4 linked regions of the Lytechinus pictus genome follow. The main gene of each other region encodes a partner of the protein of the gene in region 2 in a complex. Links are inferred from orthologs where the notes say so. Each region holds a gene or a part of one and is shown on either strand. Other genes may lie near its edges. The genes, in order: KAT8 regulatory NSL complex subunit 3-like, UDP-N-acetylglucosamine--peptide N-acetylglucosaminyltransferase 110 kDa subunit-like, KAT8 regulatory NSL complex subunit 1-like and TGF-beta-activated kinase 1 and MAP3K7-binding protein 1-like.

Region 1 (7,219 bases), on a different chromosome or scaffold from region 2:
TGTGATTGTTTATATCCTCTCTCACATCGTACATCATAGTTTTAGGGCCTTTGGCGGCCATTTTAAATATCAAAATACATGATTTATCACATAAATGGCATGTTGAATAATAAATTTCGTTAACAATAATGTTTTTAGTCAGTATTCCGCTCGTTTATCTTAACAAAATGCATTTTAGTGCTCACTCTCGTGATTTTTTTGTCACCATTCACATTGTACATAATAGTGTTAGGGCTTTTGGAGGCCATTTTGAATATCAAAATACAGGATTTATCACATACATGACATAACAAATGTTATATATCGTTAGCAATCCTATTTTCAGACATTTCTTCACTCATAGATCATTATTACTTGCATTCCAGTGCTCACTTTTGTGAAAAATAATTTTCCCCATTCATATTGTACAGGGGTCTATGGCGGCCATTTTGAATATGAAGAAAATAAATATTTTGTCCAAAATCATTTTTTCAGATATTATTTCACTCCGGCAGCACAATTGCATGTACTTTATAGCCAATGTGTGGACAATTTTATGATTTTCAGGGCACACGAGAGTAATTCATCTGCGCGCAAAGCATGCCGGACAGGCGTAAGTAAAGATCACATGACTTTATTGATTAAAATAATTCATTAAAAATAGATCAAATGTTTGTCTATCAAAAGAAAAACAATAGAGATAATGCTATGTTCATACTCTTTCATAATTAAGGCGTTTGGGGAGGCTAGACTGCATTTTTGTATTTCATTTTAATTATTATTACCCACAATGCAGTTCTGGTTTTTCTGGCAATGAACTGGCCGAAATTATATTAGTCTTATTTCAGGCCATTTAACTTTTGATTGAGCTGGGCAAGTACCTGATTAACATATCAAGTCTTAATGTACTGTTAATTGTGACTAATGTCAGTGAATTAAAGCAAAATCTATCGAGGGATTGATTTTTAATGATTTTTTGATGAGCTATGATATAACACGTGAGTGAATGGGGGTCTGTAATACTCATGTGTGCCCTATATCGCGACTACACTTCTACACAGTCGTTGCTATGGCTGGGCGTCGTCTGCTAGAAATCGGTGGTGAGAAAGCTTCAAGAAGTTTTATGCAAAGTGATAGGTTATGTTTAACAACAGTTGATAAGTATGTAACTCGGCATTTAGTGCATTTATCGCTTACGATGCTGAAATGACGCTTTCAAATGTATATTCAATGCTTTTTATCATTTATTATGCAGAAATGCGAGTTTCTACTGCCAATAGGAGATCTGGTTGGTTTGAGAGTGTGAAATGAAATAAGTAGGAATTTCAAAATGATAAATAACTTCTAATTATCATCAGGATTCCTATTTTCAATATTTAGAGCGCGCAGAGAAAGAAAGATGAACAAAACATTAAAATACATAAACTTGTCTCAGTCAGATGTTATACATCATAGATTGCGCAATTGAATACTATTCACTTCGTTGAAAGCTACAGGCGGGGGGTTGGGGGTGGAACTGAGTCGGGGTACATACCCCCATCCTCCTGGCTTGTAAGCAGGGCGGGGTTGATCCCTATAGCACCCCCCCCCCCATTCTTCCTCCAAATTAACGGTTATAATGAGGAAGAGAGGCGAAATGAGCAAAAGAAATGCTTACATTCTTTGTTTGTTATCAATTTTCTTTTATTTACTTTGTTTATTTTTATGCGAATACAAAGGTAATAAATCGCCTCGAACAAAATTAAACATGTAAACAAGAAGTTGTAAATCCACACAATACATATTTAGCCCATTGATGGACATCGAGCAAGTAGAACTTGTAGCTGTAATACCATAGGAAGCTCACAAAATATATGAATGGAACACTGCATTTTTACATTAAAATGAGGGGTGTCTAATGAGACGTTTTCTTTTTTTTAATACGTTTAGTCAGATTAGGTATTGAATGCAAGGTATCAATCTCTTCAGGAGAACCCACTCTTTCTTTTGAGACCAAAATTTTCAACTTTTTGTCATTTGACCCTCAGTATAGGGCACACGAGAGTAATTCATCTGCGCGCAAAGCATGCCGGACAGGCGTAAGTAAAGATCACATGACTTTATTGATTAAAATAATTCATTAAAAATAGATCAAATGTTTGTCTATCAAAAGAAAAACAATAGAGATAATGCTATGTTCATACTCTTTCATAATTAAGGCGTTTGGGGAGGCTAGACTGCATTTTTGTATTTCATTTTAATTATTATTACCCACAATGCAGTTCTGGTTTTTCTGGCAATGAACTGGCCGAAATTATATTAGTCTTATTTCAGGCCATTTAACTTTTGATTGAGCTGGGCAAGTACCTGATTAACATATCAAGTCTTAATGTACTGTTAATTGTGACTAATGTCAGTGAATTAAAGCAAAATCTATCGAGGGATTGATTTTTAATGATTTTTTGATGAGCTATGATATAACACGTGAGTGAATGGGGGTCTGTAATACTCATGTGTGCCCTATATCGCGACTACACTTCTACACAGTCGTTGCTATGGCTGGGCGTCGTCTGCTAGAAATCGGTGGTGAGAAAGCTTCAAGAAGTTTTATGCAAAGTGATAGGTTATGTTTAACAACAGTTGATAAGTATGTAACTCGGCATTTAGTGCATTTATCGCTTACGATGCTGAAATGACGCTTTCAAATGTATATTCAATGCTTTTTATCATTTATTATGCAGAAATGCGAGTTTCTACTGCCAATAGGAGATCTGGTTGGTTTGAGAGTGTGAAATGAAATAAGTAGGAATTTCAAAATGATAAATAACTTCTAATTATCATCAGGATTCCTATTTTCAATATTTAGAGCGCGCAGAGAAAGAAAGATGAACAAAACATTAAAATACATAAACTTGTCTCAGTCAGATGTTATACATCATAGATTGCGCAATTGAATACTATTCACTTCGTTGAAAGCTACAGGCGGGGGGTTGGGGGTGGAACTGAGTCGGGGTACATACCCCCATCCTCCTGGCTTGTAAGCAGGGCGGGGTTGATCCCTATAGCACCCCCCCCCCATTCTTCCTCCAAATTAACGGTTATAATGAGGAAGAGAGGCGAAATGAGCAAAAGAAATGCTTACATTCTTTGTTTGTTATCAATTTTCTTTTATTTACTTTGTTTATTTTTATGCGAATACAAAGGTAATAAATCGCCTCGAACAAAATTAAACATGTAAACAAGAAGTTGTAAATCCACACAATACATATTTAGCCCATTGATGGACATCGAGCAAGTAGAACTTGTAGCTGTAATACCATAGGAAGCTCACAAAATATATGAATGGAACACTGCATTTTTACATTAAAATGAGGGGTGTCTAATGAGACGTTTTCTTTTTTTAATACGTTTAGTCAGATTAGGTATTGAATGCAAGGTATCAATCTCTTCAGGAGAACCCACTCTTTCTTTTGAGACCAAAATTTTCAACTTTTTGTCATTTGACCCTCAGTATAGGGCACACGAGAGTAATTCATCTGCGCGCAAAGCATGCCGGACAGGCGTAAGTAAAGATCACATGACTTTATTGATTAAAATAATTCATTAAAAATAGATCAAATGTTTGTCTATCAAAAGAAAAACAATAGAGATAATGCTATGTTCATACTCTTTCATAATTAAGGCGTTTGCTTTGGGGAGGCTAGACTGCATTTTTGTATTTCATTTTAATTATTATTACCCACAATGCAGTTCTGGTTTTTCTGGCAATGAACTGGCCGAAAATATATTAGTCTTATTTCAGGCCATTTAACTTTTGATTGAGCTGGGCAAGTACCTGATTAACATATCAAGTCTTAATGTACTGTTAATTGTGACTAATGTCAGTGAATTAAAGCAAAATCTATCGAGGGATTGATTTTTAATGATTTTTTGATGAGCTATGATATAACACGTGAGTGAATGGGGGTCTGTAATACTCATGTGTGCCCTTCATGGGTAACTAATACTAATATGAATATTTTGGCGGCCATATTGGATTTTGCCAATTTGCAGAAAACGCTCAAGGTTACACGAGTGGCATCATTCAGATTCGGAATCAGCACCCTCGAATTGACAAGAAACCATTAAAAAACATTGTATATCTTAAAAAACAAGGTTCGACCCCTTCTATCCTGGACTATACCGTGGTCATGGTGTTAGCGCATCCACGATCCTGTGGCTGTGCGAAGCCGCCTCTCCACTCCAGTGCCAGCTCCGGCGGCGACGGGAGTCTTTACCCCGACGTCCGACCGTGTTTGGAAAACCCGATATGCTTACACTGAATGGCGGTCCACATAAAAAGATGACTTCTTCTAAACTAACTTCTTCCATAAAGGATCTACAGCTGCATGCAATTCGTGATCATTCGAATCTGTAGCCTAGGCTAGGATAGTCGAGTTCATTCGACCAGGCTCAGTCACGTCAAGGAACAATTTCATCAATTTAAACTCGTACGTAGTACACTGTACTGTTAATTTTACAATTATACAGCGCGCGCTTGAATGACGTCATCTTGCCGGTGCTTCGTTTCTTGTCCGTTTTTGTCATAAATTTAGGTAAGATTTGCCCCATTCATTAACGTTTTAACGATTTTGAAACAGACATGAGTGAAATTTAGTTGATTTTATTCGAGTTAGAGGTGATTTTTGTGTAAGGCTGTATTATTAACCAAAGTGCAGTGCAGTTTTGTCTTGTCACCGTCTGCACTGTGTCACGTTTGTTGTTGAGTCAGTCCCATTCACTCTTGTTCATGTTGGATCCTGTGGATGGAGGGGGGGGGGGGGGTCGGGTGTCCGGACGCTTTGAACTTTTGAAACCTAATTTTTGTCTTTGGATTGCACAAAAAATATGAAGTTGATTGATGTAACTTTTTTTCAGTTTTGTTTGCTGAGACTTTGAGGAAACTTTGCTTGTTTTTTTTTTTTTTGGGGGGGGGGTAAACATTTCTGTTTTTCAATTCAATTTTCAAATCATCAAATGGCAGTCGCGCGTCAAGACGCCAACATTCATGACATTGGCAACTGAACAGGCGCAGGCAAGATTATCCTGTAAATAAATAGGGTCTGTCTAGTGTCTAAACTTACGTCATGTAAAAGTTTGAGGTCCATGAAGGCATGATAATCCATTTAGACCTACGGCTACAGAGCAGAGACCATCTTGTCTCTCGATTAGATCTCACACTTCACAGTGGCAAATTGTCCATAGTCATAGACTGTGTACAACGGATAGACCGTCTCGGCTCAGCGAATCGGAGTCCCGCTGATTGGCCAATCGCGCAGATCACGTCATGACTATGTGGTCGCCAAAATAATTCCTTCGGACTGCATGCGAAAGTATCGATATCGATAACGATATCCGGTCACATTGTCTACGCGGGAAATGGTCTTGGTTCGTGATCAGATCGCTCCAGTATCGATCGAAAATTATCGAGACTGCAATTTCATGCATATTCACGCGACGCTCCGAAACCTGGAATCAATTGACTTTGTACACGTTGCGATAGACTCTACCAAGGAGTTACCTGCACTCCTTGACTCTACAAACTCCAACGAACACGATGCCATATCGACGCTAATTCGTACGATTTTAACCGAAAAGCAAGAAGTAATCGAAATTCGCTTACCTGTGCGGTATCGGTGAGAAAATAGATCCTCCGAGAATACCTTTCATAATTATAGGAATGTGAAATTCTAGGTCGATTTTGGTACGAGGTGATAGAGAATTGCACACTTGTTTTGCCTTTTGGTGGAATACTGTGTGGGGCTATGGAAGGCTTGCACTGCGCATGCTTACTGTATTTTCATTCATAAATTGGCTTTCGGCAGTGGCTGGATGACGTCATGTAATAAGCAAAATATACACGCCCGCTAGCGTTGAACGCACCGCTATCCGTTCTATACAATTTGCCACTGTGGATCTATCCCCGAAAAAAGTCACCATCTTGAAAATATCAATTATCATTCTCAAATTTCAAGAGATCTGAGCTGACTTCCGTAAATTCTGTTGCAGTTTCTATTTTCTCTCTCACATCAGATTCAGACATCATTCACTAAAATTAATTGTCGCCACAATTTTTTGTCTCACCTGCATAGCAGAGTGAGACTATAGGCGCCGCTTTTCCGACGGCGGCAGCGGCGGCGGCGGTGGCGTCAACACCAAATCTTAACCTGAGGTTAAGTTTTTGAAATGACAGCATAACTTAGAAAGTATATGGACCTAGTTCATGAAACTTGGCCATAAGGTTAATCAAGTATTACTGAACATCCTGCCTGAGTTTCATGTCACATGACCAAGGTCAAAGGTCATTTAGGGTCAATGAACTTAGACCATGTTGGGGGAATCAACATCAAAATCTTAACCTAAGGTTAAGTTTTTGAAATGTCATCATAACTTAGAAAATATATGGACCTAGTTCATGAAACTTATACATAAGGTTAATCAAGTATCAATGAACATCCTGCTTGAGTTTCAGGTCACATGACCAAGGTCAAAGGTCATTTAGGGTCAATGAACTTTGACCAAGTTGGGGGTATTTGTTGAATTACCATCACAACTTTGAAAATTTATGGATCTAGTTTATGAAACTTGGACATTAGGTTAATCAAGTACCACTGAATATCCTGTGCGAGTTTCAGGTCACATGACCATGGTCAATGGTCATTTAAGGTAAATGAACTTTGGCCGTGTTGGGGGTATTTGTTAAATTACCATCCTAACTCTGAAAGTTTATGGATCTAGTTCATAAAACTTGGACATAAGAGTAATCAAGTATCACTGAACATCCTGTACGAGTTTCAGGTCACATGACCATGGTCAAAGGTCATTAAAGGTCAATGAACTTTGGCCGTGTTGGGGGTATTTGTTGAATTACCATCCTAACTCTGAAAGTTTATGGATCTAGTTCATAAAACTTGGGATATAAGAGTAATCAAGCATCACTGAACATCCCCTGTGAGTTTCAGGTCACAAAACCAAGTCAAAGGTCAGTTAAGGTCAATAAACTTAGGCCATGTTGGGGTAATTGTTGAAGTGCCATCATAACTTTGAAAGTTTATGGATAGAGTGTATGAAATGTGGACATGGGTGTAGTTGACAGTCTTAAGTCTCCGTTCGAATGTCATTTATGGTCAATGAACGTGGTATTATGTCATTATATGAATGATGTTTTTGTAAATGATTATTTTATAGTAGTTTTCAAAGTTAGCACTGCTGCTATATTAAA
Region 2 (7,341 bases):
ACAAAAAACTATTTTTTACCTCCAGACGTCTTTAAATACTGGCTTATGATGTTTCAACCTCCAGTTATATATTTTTTTCTTAATGTTTTAATATTTTTATTTTACATATTTTCTCATTTGTTTTTCAGATTAATAACATATTTCCTCCAGCCACATCACATGTCTTACTGCTTGGCTAACTGTGAAGTAACTACCAAGTCATGAACCAGTATTCCAGGCGTTAATGACATCCACAGCTACACTTGGGTTCCTTGAAGTGGCATCCAGGAGGGCAAAAAGAACAACTTGAATCAACCTATGGCACACAGATGACCCTTTCTGCTGAAAATCTAACCTTCAGAAGTGCATGAATGAATATATAAAAAGAATGAGAGAAGAAAAAGAAAAAAATCTTGAATTAGTATCTGCGCAAATATGAAGAAAAATGACATACAAGCATTGATTAAACTAGAAGATAAAAGGAAAGAGCCAATTCTCAACACAATGATGAATGCATTAAAATTAAACTGCATCAATAATGCAAGGATCAATTTTCAGAGCCATTTCATGGCTTGTCTTATGGGGAAATGTTTTGGTAGCATTGTTAACAAATTTAACACGTTGACATTGACACAATAGCTCGCACTAGCAGAAAATTACTGCACTACAGTGCATATGAGCAAACTGAATGTAATAATAGAATACAAGGGCATGATTACACACATAACATCTGTACGTTAAGTTTTCTTCAATTCAGTCCAGCCCACTCCCTAAAATGTTTGTAGAACACTAATTGATTGATGCCTGGTATATTCTTTTATCAAATTCTGTTTGCTCATATTGGCAAGCAAGCTGAATGATGTCCATCTGTTGAAATCTGTTGATTGCATAGCAGCAGCAGCTGTTATCTAATATCTACGCAATTCCATCTCATTAGGGCAGTGAGTCTTATGTTGGTTATGTATACAACCCAACTTTTACAGCTAATTCACCATTAAGATGTTCTTTAAAATGTTTGCACAAATGATTCCTCCCTTCAAGGAAGTTAATCCATATATCATTTTAATGGATGTTTACCATCATTTCAAAATTCTTTCATTTCTCACGTCAATCAATATTGAATAAGAATTAAAATTTCATGTTTCATAAAAATACTCAGGCACTAAGGAAATAAAATTTTGCAAAGATGGACCAGCTTGGTTGAGATGACTGTAGCTCTGCTTCCAATTCAAGCTGATCCACGCTGCGCCTTAGCGCCCACACAGCGCTGCAGCCAGCACGCATGCGGCCAGCAAGCAAGCAGCCGGCAAGCAAGCAGGCAGATGCAAGCCAGCATTGCACTAAGCAGTAACACTAGCAGCAGTTGCAGCGCAGAAGCCAAGATGAAGATTTGCACAAACCACACTGGAAACGGCTCCCCCACGATGACACGATGATGGGCTTCATGGCAGCGCTTTGCAGCAGCGGCAACTTACAGCAGCATGACATGAGCCACTGTCAACCTGTCAACTGGCTACCAATGCTTTGTGGGGATCCAAAAGAGAAGGAACCGAGTCTTCAATCTCCAGCCACTTTCACATCCTGTCTTTAGTCTACGGAAACTTAACATCAAAATAATCATCTGACCTGCCATACCCCATGAGATGACATGCAATTGTGAATGGATGAATGAACATGTTTTTCACAAGCGAATCGGTTAAGAAATAGTCTTACTTGTTACATCTACATATTAATGAATAAAAATGCCCTCTTCAAGATTAAGGAATTAATCTACTCTGTGAGAATATTCTTAAGGTGAAAGCAAAATACTACTGCAAGCATTCTGAGAAATTTTGTTTAAAGAGAAAAAAAATTTAATTGAATTCTTGTTATTTTTTTATTTTACAGCATTCTGTGGTTGCATTATAAGGCAAGGTCAAATCTTGTTTGGCAAACAAACCTTACAACAGGCATTGCATACCTGTGTGGATACCTTACCTTCGCTTCGTCCAATCTACCAAGTGCTTTCAGGAGGTTCCCTAGATCACTACGAACACAGTACAGGTCCTGTGAAACAAGTAGAAATTAGAAAAATAGAATAAAAATTATACCACCCATATTACAAAAATATTTCACAATCTTCAACAGTCCACCAAAACGTTGAATTGCTATAAAACATTATTTTTACAGTATAAATTTGATGAGACTATAAAGTGCTCAGACCATATGGCCATGCAATTTGCTCCACATTTGTGAAAGACTGCTATGCATAAAGTCTTTTATATAGCATATTTTTAAATATGACTGTACTTAGTTAAGAGATTTACTCTTAAAACCAAAAATGCTTTTCAAATTTGCTATTCAAAATGCTATTCAAAATCAATGAAAGGACACACTGTACATCCATCACGCGAAACCTGCCAAATATAGTACAATGCAACCAATGGTGGAAGATCATCTGAACAAGATAAATACTTAACAAGGCATGCAAATAGATGAAGACATTTCTTTACCGGGTTATACTGCAGAGCTGTGACATATGCCTGGACGGCTCCTTCCATATCTGCTGCTGCAACTAGAGCTGCAGCAAGGTTAATGTAACCATCAATGAAGTCCGGTTTTAGTCTCACAGCATGTCTGTAGTTTTCAAGAGCTTCTTGAAGTTGACCCTTCTCTTTAAAGACATTCCCCAGATTTGAGTACGCTTCCGCTAACATCGGATTTTGTTTTATTGCTAGAGTACTGAAGTGTGCTGACCTATACAAAAAGACAAAGGGGAAAAAGTAAGAGGATTAATCACTGACCTCCTTCTCATGTTTCAACTTGAAAAACAGCCAAGACTTTGCTCATCTTAACATACTGTGCAGGCATATAATTAATCAGCTTGATCACCTTCCTCTATTCTAAAAAACCATTTACAATATACTTGCCTGTCTAATCTCCTACACTGGAAGTGTATTGAGCTTAGTAGAAGTAAAACTCCAGTGTTTTCTGGCTCTTGTCTCCATAACTGCATACAATGTTTCTCTGCATTTTCATAATCTCCAGCTTGGTATTCTCTGTGAGCAAGCTCAGCAAGACCTGTATCGATTGCAAGTAAAAAAAATGTAGGATCATAAGAGAAATTTTCCTAGCATTTCATTGTCAATATTTTCTTCAACTCTGAAATTGTGAACTTGCTACACAATGTCCTTTGTTGTAGTTGTGCAAGGGTTTTGTTGATCAACTGGATTGGCAAAATGGCCACCTATGGGATGATTGCACAGAATACTGATTTTTGTATGATATCTTCAGTATTTTAATCTTTTAAGAAAAACCTCACATTCGTGAATTTCTTTCTTTCTCTCCCTATGTTACTGAGCGAGTCTTTTGTCTTAAAAATGTATTTGAGAGTTCTGTGTGAGCATGGAGGTAATGCTACGTTATTAGTGGCTGGTTGGTTGTTTGTAGGGGAATTGAGGGGGGGGGGTGTATGTCTGTCTGGTGTAGATGCATGTGAGGATTTTGTAGTGTGTGAGAGTGATTTATATGGATGCATGGGTGTTGGTGCAGGTGTTCATAAGATGGACTCTCTTGCCGTGTCGGCGGGGCGGCCAGCTGTGTGGCCGGTCACCGCGTCCTTAGTCATGGCTTGTGTCCGATCGGGAATCCCTGACCCACTTCTGTCCCAACCCTCTTCTGCCTCTGACCATACGTGCTCCCGGGGTGGGCATCTCCTTCCTTCTCCTTTTCTGCCGGGGCTAGACTCGATAAGCTATGCTTTTTCTAGCCCCGGTCACATCATTTACAATTGTATTTCAGTTTTGTTTATGTTTATCTCTTATATGTACATGGAACAGTTTCTTCTTTCTTTTGTAATTTTGTGATTTTCTGTTATATTATGTATGGTTTTTTATGTGAAATAAATTAAATGAAATTAAAGTTGTCACACAACAATTTGTACATGTATATAGGACGTAGACAAACTGGGACCAATTAAAGTACTAAAGATCTATGTAAATATTCAAGGCACACATAGAGTCTGCTGCCCTTTATAATGCCAAATAAACATCTTCAAATTTTTTTTACCCGTCTTCTCAAAATATATTTCGTCTTTTAATGAATATTACTTTAAAAATGAAATCGATATTCTATAGATACCGGAAATGAAGTTCTAGCCCACTTACATGATTTAGGGCTAGATCTTTTACCTGTAGGGAAAGTAGTGTCGCAATTTTCATTCGTAACATTTTCGTAACATTGACTTCCGGGAAAAAAATGGAACTCCGCTGTTTCGGAGGAGCTTTTTAACATTTTCTGAATTTTTGGCCTCCTCCTACACATGACGAATGATGCCATTGGGCTCGTAAACAACCGCCGCTTAAAGATACATGTAAATGCCAGTTGTGGTAATGATCTCAAAATGACTTTTTAAAGAATCCAATATAATGACCACCAAGTGTCTGTATGAATAAAAAATACATGTGCCAAATGATTCTGGAAGAAATTATGTAATTGCTGAGAAAAGCAAAATAAGCGCAGATTCTGGCACTTCCGTCGGGTCTTTATTCCAGCAATAATAATATACACTGTTCCCCGTGTGTTGGCGATCATCAGTGTGATCGATTTTCAGCTTAGATTTTATGATTTCACAAAGTACTGTACATGTACCAGATCTAGATCCAAGATGATATAGTAATACTTGACCTCAAGTGGTTTTACAGACTTTCTCACGAATTCAGTGTTTAAATGCAACTACTTTCATTTAGCTTTAACTACAGCATATATGGAGAAAGGGTGCGCTTTTTGCACCCTCCTCTATTACTCCTTAATTTCGCTTTTTGACAGGGAAAATGGAAGAAATAGACCCAAATAAAGATTAATTTAAATACAATCAGCTTACCCCTTTCAGAAAAATATGCTGGAAAATAGCGAATTTTGATGACAAACAGATCGGTATTAGCCAGGTTTTTCTTTGATCGCCATCAGCGACAGCTGACGAACGGACGCACCAGCAGATTGGCTGGCACGTTCGTACGCTCAGTTGTACTGTGCCGACAACGATCGAAGAAGAACCTGGCCGATCCTAATCTGTTTGTCATGAAGATTCACTATATTCTGGCATATTTTTTGGAAAGGTGGTAAGCTGAATGTCTTTAATATAAATTTATCTTTATTATGTCTTCTCTTATACCCATCATAAAGCAAAATTTAGGATTAATCGAGGATGCTCACGTCATGACGGCCGCTACCTCGGGCAAAGTTCGTGCAGGCTCCACACCACTTCACTACTGCTACACTACGCTCCACCTACCCGAACTTCCGGACTGTGAACCATTTCGGATATACATGTACCGAGTGACAAAGGTGGGATAAAATGATGGTTTATTGTAACAAGTGGAACGCCTCTGGCAGTCTCGCCTGCATTACGCAATTTAATTTAGCAGCAGTGCTAACTTTGAAAACTACTATAAAATAATCATTCACAAAAACATAATTCATATGACATAATACCACATTCATTGACCATAAATGACATTTGAACGGAGACTTAAGACTGTCAACTACACCAATGTCAACATTTCATTCACTCTATCCATAAACTTTCAAAGTTATGATGGCACTTCAACAATTACCCCAACATGGCCTAAGTTTATTGACCTTAACTGACCTTTGACTTGGTTTTGTGACCTGAAACTCACAGGGGATGTTCAGTGATACTTGATTACTCTTATGTCCAAGTTTTATGAACTAGATCCATAAACATTCAGAGTAAGGATGGTAATTTAACAAATACCCCCAACACGGCCAAAGTTCATTGACCTTAAATGACCATTGACCATGGTCATGTGACCTGAAACTCGCACAGGATATTCAGTGGTACTTGATTAACCTAATGTCCAAGTTTCATGAACTAGATCCATAAATTTTCAAAGTTATGATGGTAATTCAACAAATACCCCCAACTTGGCCAAAGTTCATTGACCCTAAATGACCTTTGACCTTGGTCATGTGACCTGAAACTCAGGCAGGATGTTCACTACTCCTTGATTAACCTTATGTCCAAGTTTCATGGACTAGATCCATAAATTTTCAAAGTTATGATGGTAATTCAACAAATACCCCCAACTTGGCCAAAGTTCATTGACCTTAAATGACCTTTGACCTTGGTCATGTGACCTGAAACTCAGGCAGGATGTTCACTAATACTTGATTAACCTTATGCCCAAGTTTCATGAACTAGGTCCATATACTTCCTAAGTTATGATGTCATTTCAAAAACTTAACCTTCGGTTAAGATTTTGAAAATAATTTTCCCAACATGGTCCAAGTTCATTGACCCTAAATGACCTTTGACCTTGGTCATGTGACCTGAAACTCAGGCAGGATGTTCAGTAATACTTGATTAACCTTATGTACAAGTTTCATGAACTAGGTCCATATACTTTCTAAGTTATGATGTCATTTCAAAAACTAAACCTTAGGTTAAGATTTGATGTTGACGCCGCCGCCGTCGTAAAAGCGGCGCCTATAGTCTCGCTCTGCTATGCAGGCGAGACAAAGATTACAGAAAAAAATATAACGAGAAAGATAAATAGCTTAATATCTTACTCTACACCCGTATTTCACTCCGTGTCCATCCTCCGATTATTCTCAAAATTGGTGATTTTGGGCCAGTATCAAATTCCTCACACGTATTATTTCAAAACATTGTATGCAACGAACGTAGAGGGCAGCAACACACATCAGTGTTGCTATTATATTAGGAAGGTCCATTCCATACACGCATACAATGTTTTGAAATCGGCCGTGAATAATACGAATGAAGAATTTGATACTGGCCCAAAATCACCAATTTTGAGGATAACCGGAAGATGGACATGGAGTGACATACCGTACGGGTGTGCCGGTGTAGAGTAAGATATTTAATTTCAATGTTGTAACCGATTTTTATTCCAATTCCCGATCCGATCCGATTTTCCCCTTTTTTCTACATTTTTCCGAACTCCGATTTTGGACAAGTGGGGAAAAAATCGGATCGGAAAAACTAAAACATAACAAGACAAAAAAAAAAAAAAACGTGGCGACATGTTTGCCTTTAAAATGCGCTGGTGATTTGTTTTGATCTCGGACAAAAGCGGTGGAAGGAAAAGAAGATAAAGGAGAAGAAAATTATGATTTTTTTTTTATCTCCGATATCAGCGGAAACGGAGGTGGAGGAGAAGATGATTTGTTTTGATCTCCGACATAATCGGGGAAGAACAAAAAGATGATGATAATTGGTGATAATTTGTTTTGAATCTTCGACAAAGATGGAGGAAGAAGAAAATAACAAGAAGACGATGATACGGTATGTTTTGATCTTAAGCGGAGGCAAATAAGATTTAGTTGAACACGTTGACA
Region 3 (7,758 bases), on a different chromosome or scaffold from region 2:
GTATCTATAAGTGATATGTATATAATTATATCCAAAAAAGAAATGTGTATGAAAAAATATATAAATACACATATGGTGTAACTGATATTGTAATCCGCTAGGTGTGACGGGAAAAAAACTTAAGACTATATAGTAGGAAAAAAAAACAAAAAAAACCTGTATATGTGAAAAAGAGGAAGCAAATTGCCTAAAAAGGTAAAAGCAAATATAGAAGAGAGGGGGTGTATTATGAAGAAACCATAGTATACATTTAAATAAGCAAATGTGGTAAATCTAAAAGAGGCGAGTGGAGAAAAAAACAAATATATATATATATATATATAATAATTATTATATCGCCTGAATAAGGAAGGAAAAATTGGAGCTGAGCTTGTATGAGATATGGGAGGAAAGTAGAGTAAGAAACTATAATGTAACTATTCAAAAGAGCTGAGGGGAAAAATTATATGTATATATAAATTGATAGTGGATAGGAAAGAAAAATCAGTCGTTCCCCTCTTGGATGTTCAGGCCATGAGGTTGGGTGGTGCGAAGTCGTCTCATCCAGAGCTTCTCCCTGCTAGTACGGACTGAGTCAGGACGGGTACCTAAAGATTCGATGCCCTGTAGCATCATGTCAGTGATGGAGTGGTTGGGGAGGTTAAAATGGCGGCCAACTGGAGTGTCCAGCTTTGCTGTGTTGACGGTGGATCTGTGCCCGTAGAATCGTTTCTTGATTGTGGTCTTGGTTTCCCCTATGTATTGTACCCTACAAACTCGATCTGCAAGTGATGAGATATACAACATTAGTGGTAGTGCATGTGATGTTGCCCTTGATTTTGTGAGACAGGCTGGTAGAGTTGCTGGTGAAAGTATCGCCCTCGTGAAGGTGTATTTCACATATGATGCACCTGTTGCTGGTGCATTTGAAGGTGCCATGCTGTATGGTAGAAGAATGGTTAGTGAGGCAGGGCACTTCAGCACGAACAATGAGGTCCCTGAGATTCGGTGGGCGTCTGTATGCTAGAAGGGGAGTATCGGGAACGGCCTGTTGGAGACGATCAGAAGTGTGTAAAATGTGGTGGTTATTTGTTTTTAAGTCAATATGGTTTACTAGTAATATGGAACTCTATTTTTTTTAAAGAAATAATTAAGATTTACGCTCCCCCAACTAAGGGTATGGGGTGCGCTCCGTTTATTTCATATCCTTTTGAATATAACTTCATTTTGTTTGTATTCTTTATTCCGGTTTTTGAGGTAAAATAAGTGTAGAAGATACAAGAAATGAGAATTGAAAGTTAAAAGTGGTTGTAAGCATAAAAACCGTGAAAACTGACAAGAGTCCTAAAAATGACTCATTTTCAGGTCAGCATTTGAAAATTTCAACTTGCGCTTTGTGCTATCTTGCCCCCCCCCCCGGAAAATTCTCTGTAGGAAAAAAATGCCCCTTTTCAAAAATCGAAAATGCCTTATTTTCCAAATGAAATGTGCCATTTTTCAAAAAGAAATACCTTTTCTACATGAAAACATAATACATTTTAGGTTTGAAAATCACCAAATTTTGCATTGTGTTTGCATCAATAATAAGTACGGTACTTATCCTGTTCATGGTTACAAAAAATGTTTAGAATGTCTAGTTTTCAGATTGGAATATCACAAATTTTTGGCTCGCGTTCTGCACTCGCATCAGTTATTGTAAAGTAAGGTACTCAGTCTGTTCCCGTTTACAAAAAAAATGTTTAGAATGTCCAGTTTTCAGGTTGGAGTATCACAAATAATGCACTCGCATTATTTGATTGTAGAGTTATTATCCTATTTAGGAGTCACTAAAATGAATACATGTCCTTAACCATGTTAACAGCTTCCTTTTCTGCTCAGTATATTAAAAATTTCAGCTCGCGCTTCGCGCTTGCGTTAATTCTTTAGTTAGATACACATCTTTTTCATGATTACAAAAACAGCTCAGAATATTTAATTTTCATGTCTTATTACACGAAAATAATGTCCAAAAGTTTGAGCTCGTGGTTCGCACTGGCAACATCTCGCAAGGGTGCCCTTTTAACACGGAATAGTGCCATTATTGACCAAAACAATCGAGTTGCACAACTTCAGAATTGATTTTTTTTTCAAAACCGCTTGCTCGCTGCTCTTTCTCGTGGAAAAGTAAAAGCCTAAATCAAAATATCTATCTTATCAATTAGAAATCACTTTAAAAAGGCTTTACTCGACTTAATTTCTACAAATCACACAACTACTTCATGCAGTTGATAATCTCATTTTGAAAATATCTGTTTGCACCAAAAGGCCCATTTTGACAATTAAGTACCCCTTTTGGCTTTGACCCCCCAACAAAAATACGTTCTGCAGCCCCTGTCCCAGGGAGTGGAGAAAGACATACGTTGAGAATGGGCATGTCAGGATGCCATGGTAATAATAATTATTTTGATGTAAATCGCCTATAGAAATATAATGTATTAAATATACAAAGGTATATAACTATATTATCATTTATTATTAGGGCCTATGTCTAAATCTATCATGAAATTATTTTTGTTTTACATGTACATTTACAAGGGTCAAAGTTTTGCTCGCTCAGTTCACTCGTTCACACCTTTTATACATTTTCCCTGTGTGACATGTCTGCCGCCTAAGCATTAATTGTTAGCTCATTGTTCCATATTATCGAAAGTTTGAAATGCCTTGGCCTTGGGTTTCCATGCCTTGGCCTTGGGTATTGAAGCCTTGGCCTTGGGTATTAAAGTCTTGGCCTTGGCCCGGTTTGAGCCTTGACTACAACACTGGTCACGGATTTACGCCAATGCAATCGACACCCATTGCAATTAATGAACATGACTTAGTAGGCTGTATACTATCTCGACAAACTTCAATTTAGAAAAATGCTGAAAATCTATCAAAATCTGATAGAAAATAACGAAGATATCCGTTCGGTTATTTATATGCACATCGATCGTCATGAATATTCATAAGGTGGGCAAATGAACTGATGGGACTGATATTAATACATGAAATCATCATTATTTCATATTTTCATACCAGTGTGTATGACCATGTCTCCTAGTAGTAAAATAAGTAACAGCAACAGTGCACTAAATCAGTTGTCAATTCTTTTTTTAAGTTCCCCCGATTTTGGATGACAAAATTTTAATAAACATAACCGGAATATGACGTCATCAGTTGGCATGAAGACATGCATAGTGCACATGATCTTTAAAACAATAACTTTGTCATATACCTTGTCCGATTGCGATGAAATTTGCACGGTCATTTTGTTTAATTCTTATTCATCTGTTCAAATCATGTTTTGTCGGGATTACCCATTCATTGTGTAACTTATCTCTTTTTCCCAAGTAAAGAGATAAAACTAAACTTAGGCCTAAACTACACTGTACAGAATATAAGAGAATAACTTGAAAAAATGTAGGTTTTACTGTTCTAAATCAAATCAAATCAAGATTTACACTTAGGCCTATACCACTTTTGTATTTGGTATCAGTGCAAACAGCACCTAGGGGAAGGGAAGATGTACGATCTGCATAATTGGACTAAACTTCCCGAAGACAAAACAAGAAAGCGAAAAAACAGTTGGAAAAAAAAAACATTAGGCCTACTAGTACATATATAGACCTCTACTAAAAAAGAAACTTTCTGAGTAGGACCCTATGGCTTAATTGCGTGTTCACGGTGAAAGACGAACCTGCATGGGAAAGATTGTTCAGAATTAAAGTTTGTCTATAGCAACAACATAAAAAAGGGGGGAAATCACTTCATTGTCAATGAGGGTATACAAAACATATATGCTAGGGCTACAAAAAATATAATGCATGATACCGACCACATTTCAGAAAAATGTGTGGAGTCAGATCCACGGTTCGGCACCTCAGGGCTCAGCTGCAGAGCAATGTCGTGACTCGTGAGACAGAGTTTGCATTCCCCATGCGCGCAGTTTTCCGCTAATTTCCCGTTGTTGTAATGATGTCAACTGTACGGAAAAAAAAGACACCCACTAACAAAAAGACCAAAAAAAAAAAAATACAGGGTGGTATCATAGAGCTATTATGGTACTACGCATTGGCATAACATAAATTTATTCCTTAGATAATAAAATCATAAAAATGCTATATTCGAAAATTCCCTTGTTCCCAATTATACTGCCAGAAATAAGAGTACAAGATCGAGTGGGGAAACATCGAATTCTGATATAAAAATTCAAAGTTTCGGGACTATATTAAATTATGATCCCGGATAATGCGATCGAAACATGAAATGATTCCTCCCTTTTTAGCACTTAAGTCTTTCCACCGTATCTTCTATTAGTTAGGACTAAATCCCTATACTTCGTTCGAATCAATTTTAAGCATAGATTTTCTATCCTTGAATTGATATAATGCTTTATATCACATAATAATGCTTACTTTTCGTAATAAAACTGATTTTGTTCCGTGCTATTTTGCGAAAGTTTGACTTCATATCGATAGAGCGCGAACTTGATGGCTCTTTAATCTCGCATTTTCCCTCCCCGTATTTACGTCTTTATGCGAAATATTTTTTAAGATAAAATTTCATTAATTTGCACCTTTTCATGCATGAAGATGTATTGTTACATAAAAAAACGAATTGATGGAGTCAATTTAGGGGTGAAATACTATGCAAGAGCGAGGAAAAATAATTAATAATTATTTACTATAAGATTTTTACAGGGTATTTTTCCGACCAACCGAATAGCTCTAAACAGCCAATCACGCAATTCCGCCTATAGGGGGTAGACCAATTGACGTAGAGGCAGATGTTAATGAAGTCGCCTGCATTTTTTTGTTGTGAGAATGGAGATCAATGCCTGAGCACGTCGCCATATTATGCGATACTTTTTTCGACGTCGTAGGTTGGCCATGGAAGTCAATGATGAATAATGTGATGTGTGTGATTGTTGGATTCATTGATTACCCATGAGGAGTATACGTTAGGATGTTAAATTTTGACAAGAGCAAGGAAATATGTTGATCAATTCGGAAAATAATGGGTGTAACCCGCATGCATAGTCCGATCGCTTGTTTCACGAACGTGCGTGGAACCTGTCCAGGGGTCACGTGGTGTTGCTTCTCATTACCGTCCATGTTATGATTCTCAGTTTGCGAAACGTTCCGTTCAAACATTCGTCAGTGCAACGTTGTTTTCAATTTGACGTCTAAAACTGATCCTCTTGTCGGTCACTGAAGACGGAAAACGATACTCGTAAATATTGATGGAGACCACCTTCCCGGCCTAAGCGCGGGAAATAGCTATACGTACGTTGATCTGGTGTCTGTCACGTGTGGTAATCGTTCGGCCTGTGCCTGGCCTCTGTTATTGTTTCCATTATCGCCTGCCTCACCTGCGGCTTTTTTTGGATGGACCGATGTTTATGAAGAGAGCGGGTTGAACAAACACATATCTCTATACTATAGCATTATTTGTGTTTTGGTATTGCAACATTTGTGCTATTGTAAACATATGTTAATTGTTATCCTAGTATTTAAAATACAAAACAATTTTTTATCTCGTTGGACGGGTCGTCTTCGAAAGCTTTAATTAGTCATGTTCTCCAATCAATGGCAAGTGTGACGCCGTACAGTGGTGCCGTTCCCACGGTACCCTGTCCGCATAGCGCTTCGCTTCCCGTCGCATGTGGTCACAGTTCCCGCTGAGGCTATGTATGGCTGCAATGGCTCCGGCACTGACTGATGCCGCGGCTCATACAGGCTCCTTCAAGTTGCCAGCTTCGCCTGCTAACCCGGGAAGCAGTGGTGGCCTGCAAGCAAATCCAAATCAGCCAACAAGCCCAGACTTGCCCTCATTGGCAAATGGTCATTCTCCGGCAGTACCCGGTGGTGTAGGCAAGCATTATTCTCCAGGTTCGAGTCCCACCACTCTGTTGAGAAACCACGAGCCCACTGTATCGCCAACTTGTTTCACCATTCACACCCACTTTCTTGAGAATAATAATCACAAGGGTGGAGAAACACTGACAATTTCAGAGGGAAAAAATTATCAGGAATTGCAATCAAACCACTGTAACGGCCCGATAAAAAACAAGTTAAATTCATTAATTTCCACCATCGGCTCAGGCCTGGATCTAAACCTAGATCTACTCGCGAATGGTGAAAAACATTCAAAGAAAAGCATATTGAAAACGATGAACGACTCTGCCGCACCCTTGGCACAGAAAGAGGTAGACCTAGACCTGTTGAACGATAATCACCCTTCTACTCCACCAACATCCAAAATGCCGCCTCTAACAATATCAACTACTGGAAGTCCCAGTCCAACGGGTCCAAAACACTCTGTCGCTACTCACATTGAAAATATCAATATACGAGATAATGGTGATATCGATGAGCATGTGGAGCTCGATACTAGCGATACGTCAAGCAGTTCTCTATCGAATGACATGGATAGTTCATTAAGTCTGTCACACTCTAATGCACTGACAACAGATACAAGTCTTGAACAAGCCGTTGATGACTGTCTTGATCCGAAGTCAGACAATGAGAGCGACTCAGATGAAAGTAGTGTGGATCTTTCTGCCACTACTGCAGAAAAATGTAGTGGAGCAAGCAACATTGTTGAAAAGGAGAAATTCAAGTCCGTTAATGTTGTTGATAAGCTAGAAGTAGGAGGTGACAGGAAACCTAGATTTATGAAAGCAGAAGTGAAGCAGGTTGAAAAATCTGTATTCAAGGTTGTGAATGATAATGACCAGATGTCTGAGGGAAAGAAAGAAGCTATCATTTTGATTCATAAACAGTCGAAACAAGAACATCGTGCAAAGTATTTGATGGAAAAGTTACGGAGATTACAGACATGTCACGTTGGATCTCGGATATATCAACAAATAGGTTCCTTTGTAGAATCAAAACAATCCTGCAAAGAAGCTGCAAATTCTGCTGGAAGTAGCAACGTTACTTGTGAAGAGTGCCGGAGGAATCGTCTTCAGACGGGTAGTAGACCTGGCGTTCTTCCTAGAAGTAGTTCAAGTCATAGCCATACTTGTCCTCTACATACAAACTCTTCTTCAGACCGGCAAAGACATTCGATAAGACCATCATGGTTACCAGCAGGAAAAAGAACTAAGCCAAGTACACATATTTCTCAGCACTTGCGAGAAGGGAAACAAGCATATCGTGAAGTAAAATCTGTCACTGGAAGGCTTCGAGCAGGCCTTGGTCATGTTGAAAGCACCATAGATTCAGACGTCACCGATAGCAGCTCAGGTGGAGAAAGTTGTGATGAAGGAGATGACAGCTTACCACAAACCCAGGCATCCCGTTCATTTCACAAGATGCCTCTGTGAGTACATATTTCAAAGAGCTAAGGAGATTGTAAAATTTTGGCTCTTGGAATTATAGGGCATGCGATATTGTAGGCGTACACGTATTGTGAGTATGGTCACATGAATGAAAAGATGAGAACTCCCATTGAATTTGGAAACAATTTTATGGACATCTACAGGTACACTTTAAGTAAAATATTCGCAGCATTGGTAAACCAGATTATTATCAACTGTTATTCAAATTCCCCCTAGTTGGAACAAATTTTTATGGTCCCAAAACTCCCAATAGATTCAAATAGGCATAGCTGCCTCATTTGCCTGTGTTTTTATCTTGTCCAAAAGAACAAATGTTGGAAAGATTTTAGTTTTATAGCGTTGAATAATTTCAAATTCATTGATGTTGCTTTCTCCCCCCCCCCTTTCCTTTCTTATTCACAGTCACAGAAGAGCAT
Region 4 (7,472 bases), on a different chromosome or scaffold from region 2:
GAATGAGATTAATAACCCATAAAATGCGCAAATACACGTAATGATATGGAGCATTGTGGAAATGAACATGGTCATTAGACTCAATAAATGATAGACCAAATGGAGACTAGACTAAGTTTGGTGGTGTTAGACAATCTAAGAATCAGACCATCTGCTAATACTAATAGACTGATGGGTTTACAAGATTTGAGGTCATACAATAAATTGAAAGTCATGCATTTCATTGCAAATTTTGAATTAATTGATGGTCTGCTTCGTGCATCAACAAATATAAATTATTTTGCTTTTAATTTAACATCGATCTACTGCTTGTAAAATTGCATCTGAACTTTGCAATTGATTGCACACATTTTCTTGCAACACCCTCTGGATTGGATGCAAATTTATATATATGCACCTGAAATGAAAGAATTTGTCTTCAAATTCATGATCTTCGCTTCTGGCTCCATCTTGTCGGTAGACCTGGTTGTTTGAGTATCCAATCCCTGAGTGACGGCAGACAGGCAAGTCATCGGTCCAGCTCTGTAATGAGCCCTGTGAAACATGACAAGAGATATGAGGGACTGGGTTGAAGTTCATTCTATGGGATGACGACGAGATTAGTCTTAGGAATTGATGGCACAGAGTATATTTCTGGCACTCTCATTTCAGATAATTTCCATTTAAAAGGGAAGTTCACCCTGACAAAATGATTTTTCTAAAATAGCAGAAAAAATCATTAAAATATTGGTGAAGGTTTGAGGAAAATCCAACAAAGAATTAAAAGTTATTATAAGTTTAAATATTTGATATGTGATGTCATATGAGAGCAGCTTTCCTACATATCGTATGGTGAAAAATCAATGAATTGTCATTTTATCAGAAAATGAAAAATTATTCTTATTGTACCTTCAGTATATCAATAGACAAATCATTTCACACCCGCTACTAAAAAGAAAAATAAATAAGTCACCAGAAACCATTAAAAAATATAAATTTCTGTATTTTATATTACATAACATAATGGGGTAGCTGCTCGTTTATGTCACGAATCCAAAACTTAAAATTCTAATAACTTTCTTAATCTTTAATGGATTTTCCTCAAACCTTCACCAATATTTTTTCTCATTTTTCTGCCATTTCTACTACAAACTATTTGTCAGGATGAACTTTCCCTTGAAAGATAAATGCCAGTCATGGTAACAATTTCAATTTGAGTTCTTACAGAATTCAATAAAATGACCACCTATGAAAAGTCTGTTTGCATAAATAAAGATATATGCCAAAGGATTCTGAAAAAACAATGTAATTGTTGAGAATTTTCGTCTAAAGAGGTGCACGATTTATCTTCATATTAAAGACACTACTACAAGTGAGAAACTAGGCACGAAAACTATTTTACGTTTATATCGATGCAAAGCGTTATGCGAAGTGTCCAATCTTTTTATTGTAAAGACTCTTTAGTGCCAAAAGCTTACAAACAGTATTGTAGCCCATTTACATAAGTTTGGGCTCAAAACCCTAAACTTTAGAAAACATGTATTTTGGTGCATGGAGATTACATCATATAGGGAAAATGAGAGGGGATTCCACCCTTTATTACCCAGAAACCTCTGAAATATAGTCTATTCATCTTTCATTTCAGAAAAAAATTGAATAAAAATATGTAAAAATCGTCTATTCCTTCACCAATTCTCTCATTATGTTTTTTGACTTGTCATATTGCGATACGCGAAGGTGAAAAAAGTTTGTTACTTACAGTTACAGTTACACTACAGTACACAACGCTGCTGTGGGCATGGTGGGGCGCTCTTCCCCACTCACACGTATTGCGAGGTTAGTATTAGTATACTAACATCGCACCACGAACCGCGTTTGGCAGTGGATTTCTAACTAGTGGATCGCGCGTGCTGGGATCTCACTTCTTGGGTCCACAACACACGACTTCTAATAGGGTGTCTGGAGAAAAAAAATATTTTTTTTATTTCAAGAAAATATCACATTTTCTTTGTGAATTTGAAGAGAAATGACCTTCAGACTGACAGAAATGTAACATTTTTGAAAAAAATCCAATTATTGGCTGCAAAAAAGAAGAATGAAATTAGGTAAATTTTCAGCATTTCTCTGCCATAGACTGTGTAGTTAAGAAATGGACACACACAAATCCAAATTTTTAGCTTCCGAGAGCTGTTATAAATTTATTATTAATGCCAAAAACTTGTCCATAAAGAGTCCAATAGGATTTTTTATGCTCTATCTGATGGTATGATTTTTATAAAGATTTCGAAACCAGATCACAATGAAAAATTGCGACAAAGTGAAAAAAATTGTGCAAAACAGAAATGTCATTTTCCCATAGAAAACGCATGGAGAAATGGCAATCTCAACACACACAAAAATAAGGGTTTGCAATTTATCTCTAAATCCTTATTTAAAATGATCATATAAACTTGTCCTTACTGTCAAAAGAAGCCCCTGAATTTTCTCTTTCCATACATGCCAAACACAAGTTAATAATCAATTCAGATCACATTTTTCTAGTAGCCTGAACTTCCCCGAAAAAATGTGCCATATTTCCCCCTAAATTAGCCTGTTTTATGCTGACACTTTTCAGTGTGGCTTCAGACACCCTACTTCTAATTTCTATGCCATACTATGGCTTGATTTTTCTGTGCGCTGCGGCGTGTAATGAACCCTTGAGTGGCTCTTCCCAAGCGTTTCATTTCTATGTACTATCCAATCTTCCCCTTGCACCGCTCATTCAATGAACAAGGTTTATGCCTTGCACTTTGATTTAAGTTAATGTCTCACCCCCCCCCCCGCCCCCCCCCCCCTCAAAAAAAAAAACTAAAGACGTTTCAGTTCAGTCCCACATGTATATTTACCTGTGAGTGTTGACTTACAATCGAAGGAGTGGTGCGCCTTGGTGTTCTTGATGTCATATTTTTAGGGCATAATCAAAACGTAAACAAAGTTTGATACACGATCAATGATAGTCATTGATGGTAACGTCACAATTCAGTAAAATATGTCCAGAAAATTCTTTAAATGGCGAAGAATACCAGGTCAGATGACATCGACAGCTTGCTGGAATTTGTTTATGTTAAAGCCCTCTACGTTCGAGTGGCGGCCGCGCTGTAAAAAAGGGGGGAAGTCCCACAGATCTATCTCTGAGGAGCATCGTGAAAGGAATTTTCGGCCCTTAGAAAATTGAATTGAGGATTGAACTGAATCGAACTGAATTGAATTGAATTGAATAACTTTATTGTCCATTAAGGAAATTCTTTTTTCACTGGTTTTAAAACACATGAAGATACAATGTATATACACAGAACAAGAAAAAAGATATGGTGAAAACATGTCAACATGAGGGAGTTATTTTAAATCAGGTATACATGGTTCACGCAAAATTTACAATCCCTTTTACAATACAAAAGTATTTGAATTACATATTCTAAAATAATTTTATATGGTTATAGTTAAGTAGTTGACGGCAAGAGATAGTGATGGGTCGAAAGCTGATGCAAGTAGAGTCAGGGAAGTGCAAGTGTCTGTTTCCAAAAAAGAAACCTCTAATATAAATTTATAGTCAAAATTATCTTTTATGATTGTTAAGCAATTAAAAAGAATAGGGGAAAATCGCATCGTTCTACCCGTATTTAAGAATCACTAAATCAAATTTCATAACACATTCATGTTCTCTATTATCACGCATAAAGATAGATAACATAGGCCTACCCTTCTCATTTCTGCATTATTTTAAAGGGTATGTATGATATTTAGGACTTGCTTTTTAATAGTAAATTTCATTTACTCAAAATTTAGTAGGGTCCATGCTGAAATATGGCAAGTTTATGGAAGAAAACAACCCCAAAGTATTGCAATGTTTGATTACTTGCGACTTAAAAGTGGGGAAGGGATAAACATACAAAAACCACCTGTATTAGTATGCCTTTATCATAGCAAAAAAAAAAAAATTCAATCAAGAAAGAAAAAGAGAAATCCGGGGGGCACTTCCATTGACAAGTGGATACCAGATACGACCAAAGAAACGCGTAAACAGGATCTCATTTGGGCACGTTGCGTAGGCCTACGTAACGAAGTGTCTCAAAAACACTGAAAAATTTATACATATTTTGCTAGGAAAGCTAAACGTGTTTATAGTCAAATTTGTGAGGGTATAAAAAACAAAGAATGTACTTTTTGCTCCAACAATTGTTTAGAGTCCGATTTGAGTGAGGTGTGGGAGGTGGGTGGTACTATAAATCCAATGTAAGTAACTGAAGGTAAAGACGACGTCCGTGATATAACAATCAAATATCGTTAAAAAAATTGTTAAAAAAAGTTTTCGCTACAAAAATGAAGATCATTTGGTTACATTTTCCCACTTATGCACATCTTACAGAATACATGAAGTACCCCCGCTTCCCAAGGCCATATAGGACATTACACTTTTTGTAATTATGAAAAGAATGGGTATCTTTCTAAATGAACTATACGAACACGAAGCGCTTTTAAAAGATGTTTTTAGATAAAGAATGTATAAGGTGTGTATCTGTATAAACACTCAATGCATGTGGGAAGCGCGGACTCATTTTTAATTTTTTTTTTTTTAACAAATACATATTGACCCGAAAGGGAACTTTAAAAAGGGATATTACACTTTCGTGAAAAGTATGGGTATCTTTCTAAATACATTATACGAACACGAAGCGTGAGCTGACTTTATTTTGTGATTTTTCGGAATGTAAAAATCTATCAAAAAATATGTCTTGGTATTAAACAGGCATATACTCTTTAGAATTATTGCCTCATAATTATACGCCATGACTGACCCACACTACTTGTGGGTTTTTTTTCGCTCATCTATATATATATATACTGATTGGCAAATAGCAAATTCTTGATCATTAAGTGAGGTTATATTCCAATTTTACAAGGATGGACAAACTTTGAATATTTGTTATAACTGCACAGGGAAATTTGCTTCCCAGAGAAGAATTCATGCATATCTGTATGATCTCAAATACTATATCTATTCTATGTCCATCTCTCATATTGTGACAAATGTACAGTGACCGAATGAGAGAGAGAGAGAGAAAAAAAAGAGAGAAATAAATGAATATATAGACCCACAGGTAGTCTGAATATAGTAGTGGCGCATAATGATTTTGTGATTTTTTTTTTGGAGGGGGGGGGGGCAGCGCCTCCATGCCCCGGCATCTGTACGCCACTGGTTGATAGTGTTTATATTCATTTCGACTTCAACAAAATTTACATTGTAAAGCAAAATATAGAATAATAATACTTGCTTATGAAGTGCCTACCTCTTTATTTTCAAGGCTCCGTGATTTTCAAGAAATATTTCTACCAGGTACCTATTTACCTCACCTTGGTTGAGTGTAGCATAATTGAAAAAAAAATGAACCCACTGGACAGTTTGTTTATGTGAGTTCCCTGCAATAAATAACTAATTAAATTATAACTTATCTTTGATGAAATTCAAATCGTAATTAACAAGGTTCAACAAAGTAAGAAAAAAAAACAAATGGGGTCAAACTGTTTATGTCTGTACTATGTACACCATGTCATAACTGGCCCGGGTGTATGAAAGTATAAAGACAAACTTTAGTTTAGGAAAGTGCATATAAAGGAAATCAGTTGGATAAGATAGGACGGAAACACTAAAGATTAAATAAGATCAAAGAAAATGTACCAAGCAGGACAAGACAGGAAAAAAAACCACTTCAAAACAAGAGCCCCCCCCAAAAAAAAAAATGAATACTAAAATAAACAAGAAAACTGGGGCCCGTTTCTCAACACATGGACAAGTTAGTCATATCTTTATCCACCAACCACGGAGTTAGTTCCAATCTTACTAAACCTGTTTCTCGAAAGGCTTCCTAACTAGAATACCTTGATATCGATATACTATCGGTAAAAAGAGCAGACGAGACGTAGCCTTAGTCACAACAGAGCATAATTTTCCAAAATAATAATTATGACAAAGTTGCAAATATTATGATGAATTGGGAAATAAATCTTTTCAAAATAATAGCACAGGTGAATTATGCATCATACATACTTAGACCATGAAGACTGGAGCATTCAATTGCAGAGAAAATTAAATTATGAATACTTCATTTCATGACTAAAAAATCACTTGTGGACGTTGAGATGGGTACCCCCGGGATACCCAATTTTAATAGTTTACGAAAGTAAACCATAACGGTTTTCTCTGTAAAATGATGATAATTATACGGACTTTTACGATTCCAAACGTCATCAAAATATAGTTTAACGAAATATTTTTAATCATTGATACCGAAAGATACGATATTGGACAAATTATATGCATAAATTAGAGATAGAATTTATCCAACTGTTTATAGGGGTCTGAAAACAGCAAATACGAGTTCAGTTATGGATGGCCTGACGTGGTAGAATCTTTATCGATTAAATCATTTTACTATTTCAAAATGAATGGTTCTGTGGCGTTTACCAACAGTTTTTATAGTTTCTTTGTATTACAATTATCATTGAATGCATTAACACACTTGTTTTGTGATGTAATTTCAACCTCTATGATTGATTACGTAAGATTATAATTTTAAAATATCTAGGCACTTTCGCATGTCATAGTCTACCCACGTGATGCCATACGTCATTAAGAAAGAAGTTATGACAGGTTCGGAGGTGTCATAAATATTTAGTGAGGTTGTTGTACCCGATCTTGGTAAAGAGGGCTTCGTGAAACGGTTAGCGGACAAGTAGCTCACTATCTCCGATTTAGTCAAGAAGTTAGACTTATGACGGTGTTGAGAAACGGGCCCCTGCACTTGAGGTGACAGAAAGAAAGAAGATATCAGTGGCGGATCTAGCTTTTTGCTATAAGAGGGGGTTTGACAAGTTGGTTTGATCCAATAACGATGAGCTGCGACCAGGGGCGGCGATCCAGGGGGTGGGGGCACATTTTTAGAAGCACTGAAAAAGTGCCCTTTTATGCAAGAAAAATGCCCCCCCCCCCTCACGAACGTGTTCTGTGTCCGTTTCGCCTGAGAAGGACCCGTTTTATGTGTTAGCAAGTGCCATATCTCGTATCAATGCCAAATTCCCCCCCCCCAAAAAAAAAAAAATCCCTTCACGAACGTGTTCTGTGTCCGCCCCTTTCACCTTAGAAGGACTCGTTTTATGTCTGAGCAAGTGCTCCCTTGCTTTCTTGTAAGTGCCCTTTCTCGAATCAGTGCCCCTTTTTACCCAAGAAAAGTGCTCCTCACGAACACATCATGTGCCCCTTTCACCTGAGAAGGACCCGTTTTATGCCGTTAGCAAGAGTTAATGCCCCTTTGCCTTCTTATAGGTGCCCTTTCTCATATCAGTGCCCCCTTTTTACCTATAAGAAAAGTGCCCCACGAAAGTGTTCTGTGCCCCTTTCACCTGAGAATTAGGACTGTACTGTGCCCCTTTCCCTTCTCATAGATATATGTTCTTCA

The links.
Region 1: UDP-N-acetylglucosamine--peptide N-acetylglucosaminyltransferase 110 kDa subunit-like (region 2) and KAT8 regulatory NSL complex subunit 3-like share a complex: the UniProt entries of both Homo sapiens proteins name them as parts of the NSL complex. The link is inferred for Lytechinus pictus from reciprocal best matches to the Homo sapiens genes OGT and KANSL3.
Region 3: UDP-N-acetylglucosamine--peptide N-acetylglucosaminyltransferase 110 kDa subunit-like (region 2) and KAT8 regulatory NSL complex subunit 1-like share a complex: the UniProt entries of both Homo sapiens proteins name them as parts of the NSL complex. The link is inferred for Lytechinus pictus from reciprocal best matches to the Homo sapiens genes OGT and KANSL1.
Region 4: the proteins of UDP-N-acetylglucosamine--peptide N-acetylglucosaminyltransferase 110 kDa subunit-like (region 2) and TGF-beta-activated kinase 1 and MAP3K7-binding protein 1-like are in contact, whole or in part, in a crystal structure (PDB 4AY6), measured with the Homo sapiens proteins. The link is inferred for Lytechinus pictus from reciprocal best matches to the Homo sapiens genes OGT and TAB1. Residues at the interface, in NP_858058.1 of Homo sapiens: Asp441, His506, His508, His509, Asn567, His568, Pro569, Gly641, Tyr642, Thr643, Lys644, Ala646, Gln849, Phe878, Pro904, Val905, Ala906, Pro907; in NP_006107.1 of Homo sapiens: Pro389, Val390, Val392, Pro393, Tyr394, Ser396, Ala397, Gln398, Ser399.

Annotation. Positions count from the first base shown.
Region 1 is NC_087256.1:18,280,156-18,287,374, forward strand, and holds the start of KAT8 regulatory NSL complex subunit 3-like, read left to right. Parts: upstream 1-4,158; 5' UTR 4,159-4,553; intron 4,554-7,219. UniProt on the Homo sapiens protein: Non-catalytic component of the NSL histone acetyltransferase complex, a multiprotein complex that mediates histone H4 acetylation at 'Lys-5'- and 'Lys-8' (H4K5ac and H4K8ac) at transcription start sites and promotes transcription initiation.
Region 2 is NC_087249.1:53,721,119-53,728,459, forward strand, and holds the start of UDP-N-acetylglucosamine--peptide N-acetylglucosaminyltransferase 110 kDa subunit-like, read right to left. Parts: upstream 3,040-7,341; 5' UTR 2,975-3,039; coding exon 2,889-2,974; intron 2,716-2,888; coding exon 2,472-2,715; intron 2,026-2,471; coding exon 1,957-2,025; intron 1-1,956. UniProt on the Homo sapiens protein: Catalyzes the transfer of a single N-acetylglucosamine from UDP-GlcNAc to a serine or threonine residue in cytoplasmic and nuclear proteins resulting in their modification with a beta-linked N-acetylglucosamine (O-GlcNAc).
Region 3 is NC_087247.1:49,525,417-49,533,174, forward strand, and holds the start of KAT8 regulatory NSL complex subunit 1-like, read left to right. Parts: upstream 1-4,748; 5' UTR 4,749-5,659; coding exon 5,660-7,323; intron 7,324-7,744; coding exon 7,745-7,758. UniProt on the Homo sapiens protein: Non-catalytic component of the NSL histone acetyltransferase complex, a multiprotein complex that mediates histone H4 acetylation at 'Lys-5'- and 'Lys-8' (H4K5ac and H4K8ac) at transcription start sites and promotes transcription initiation.
Region 4 is NC_087254.1:11,941,685-11,949,156, reverse strand, and holds the start of TGF-beta-activated kinase 1 and MAP3K7-binding protein 1-like, read right to left. Parts: upstream 3,106-7,472; 5' UTR 2,922-3,105; coding exon 2,865-2,921; intron 535-2,864; coding exon 398-534; intron 1-397. UniProt on the Homo sapiens protein: Key adapter protein that plays an essential role in JNK and NF-kappa-B activation and proinflammatory cytokines production in response to stimulation with TLRs and cytokines.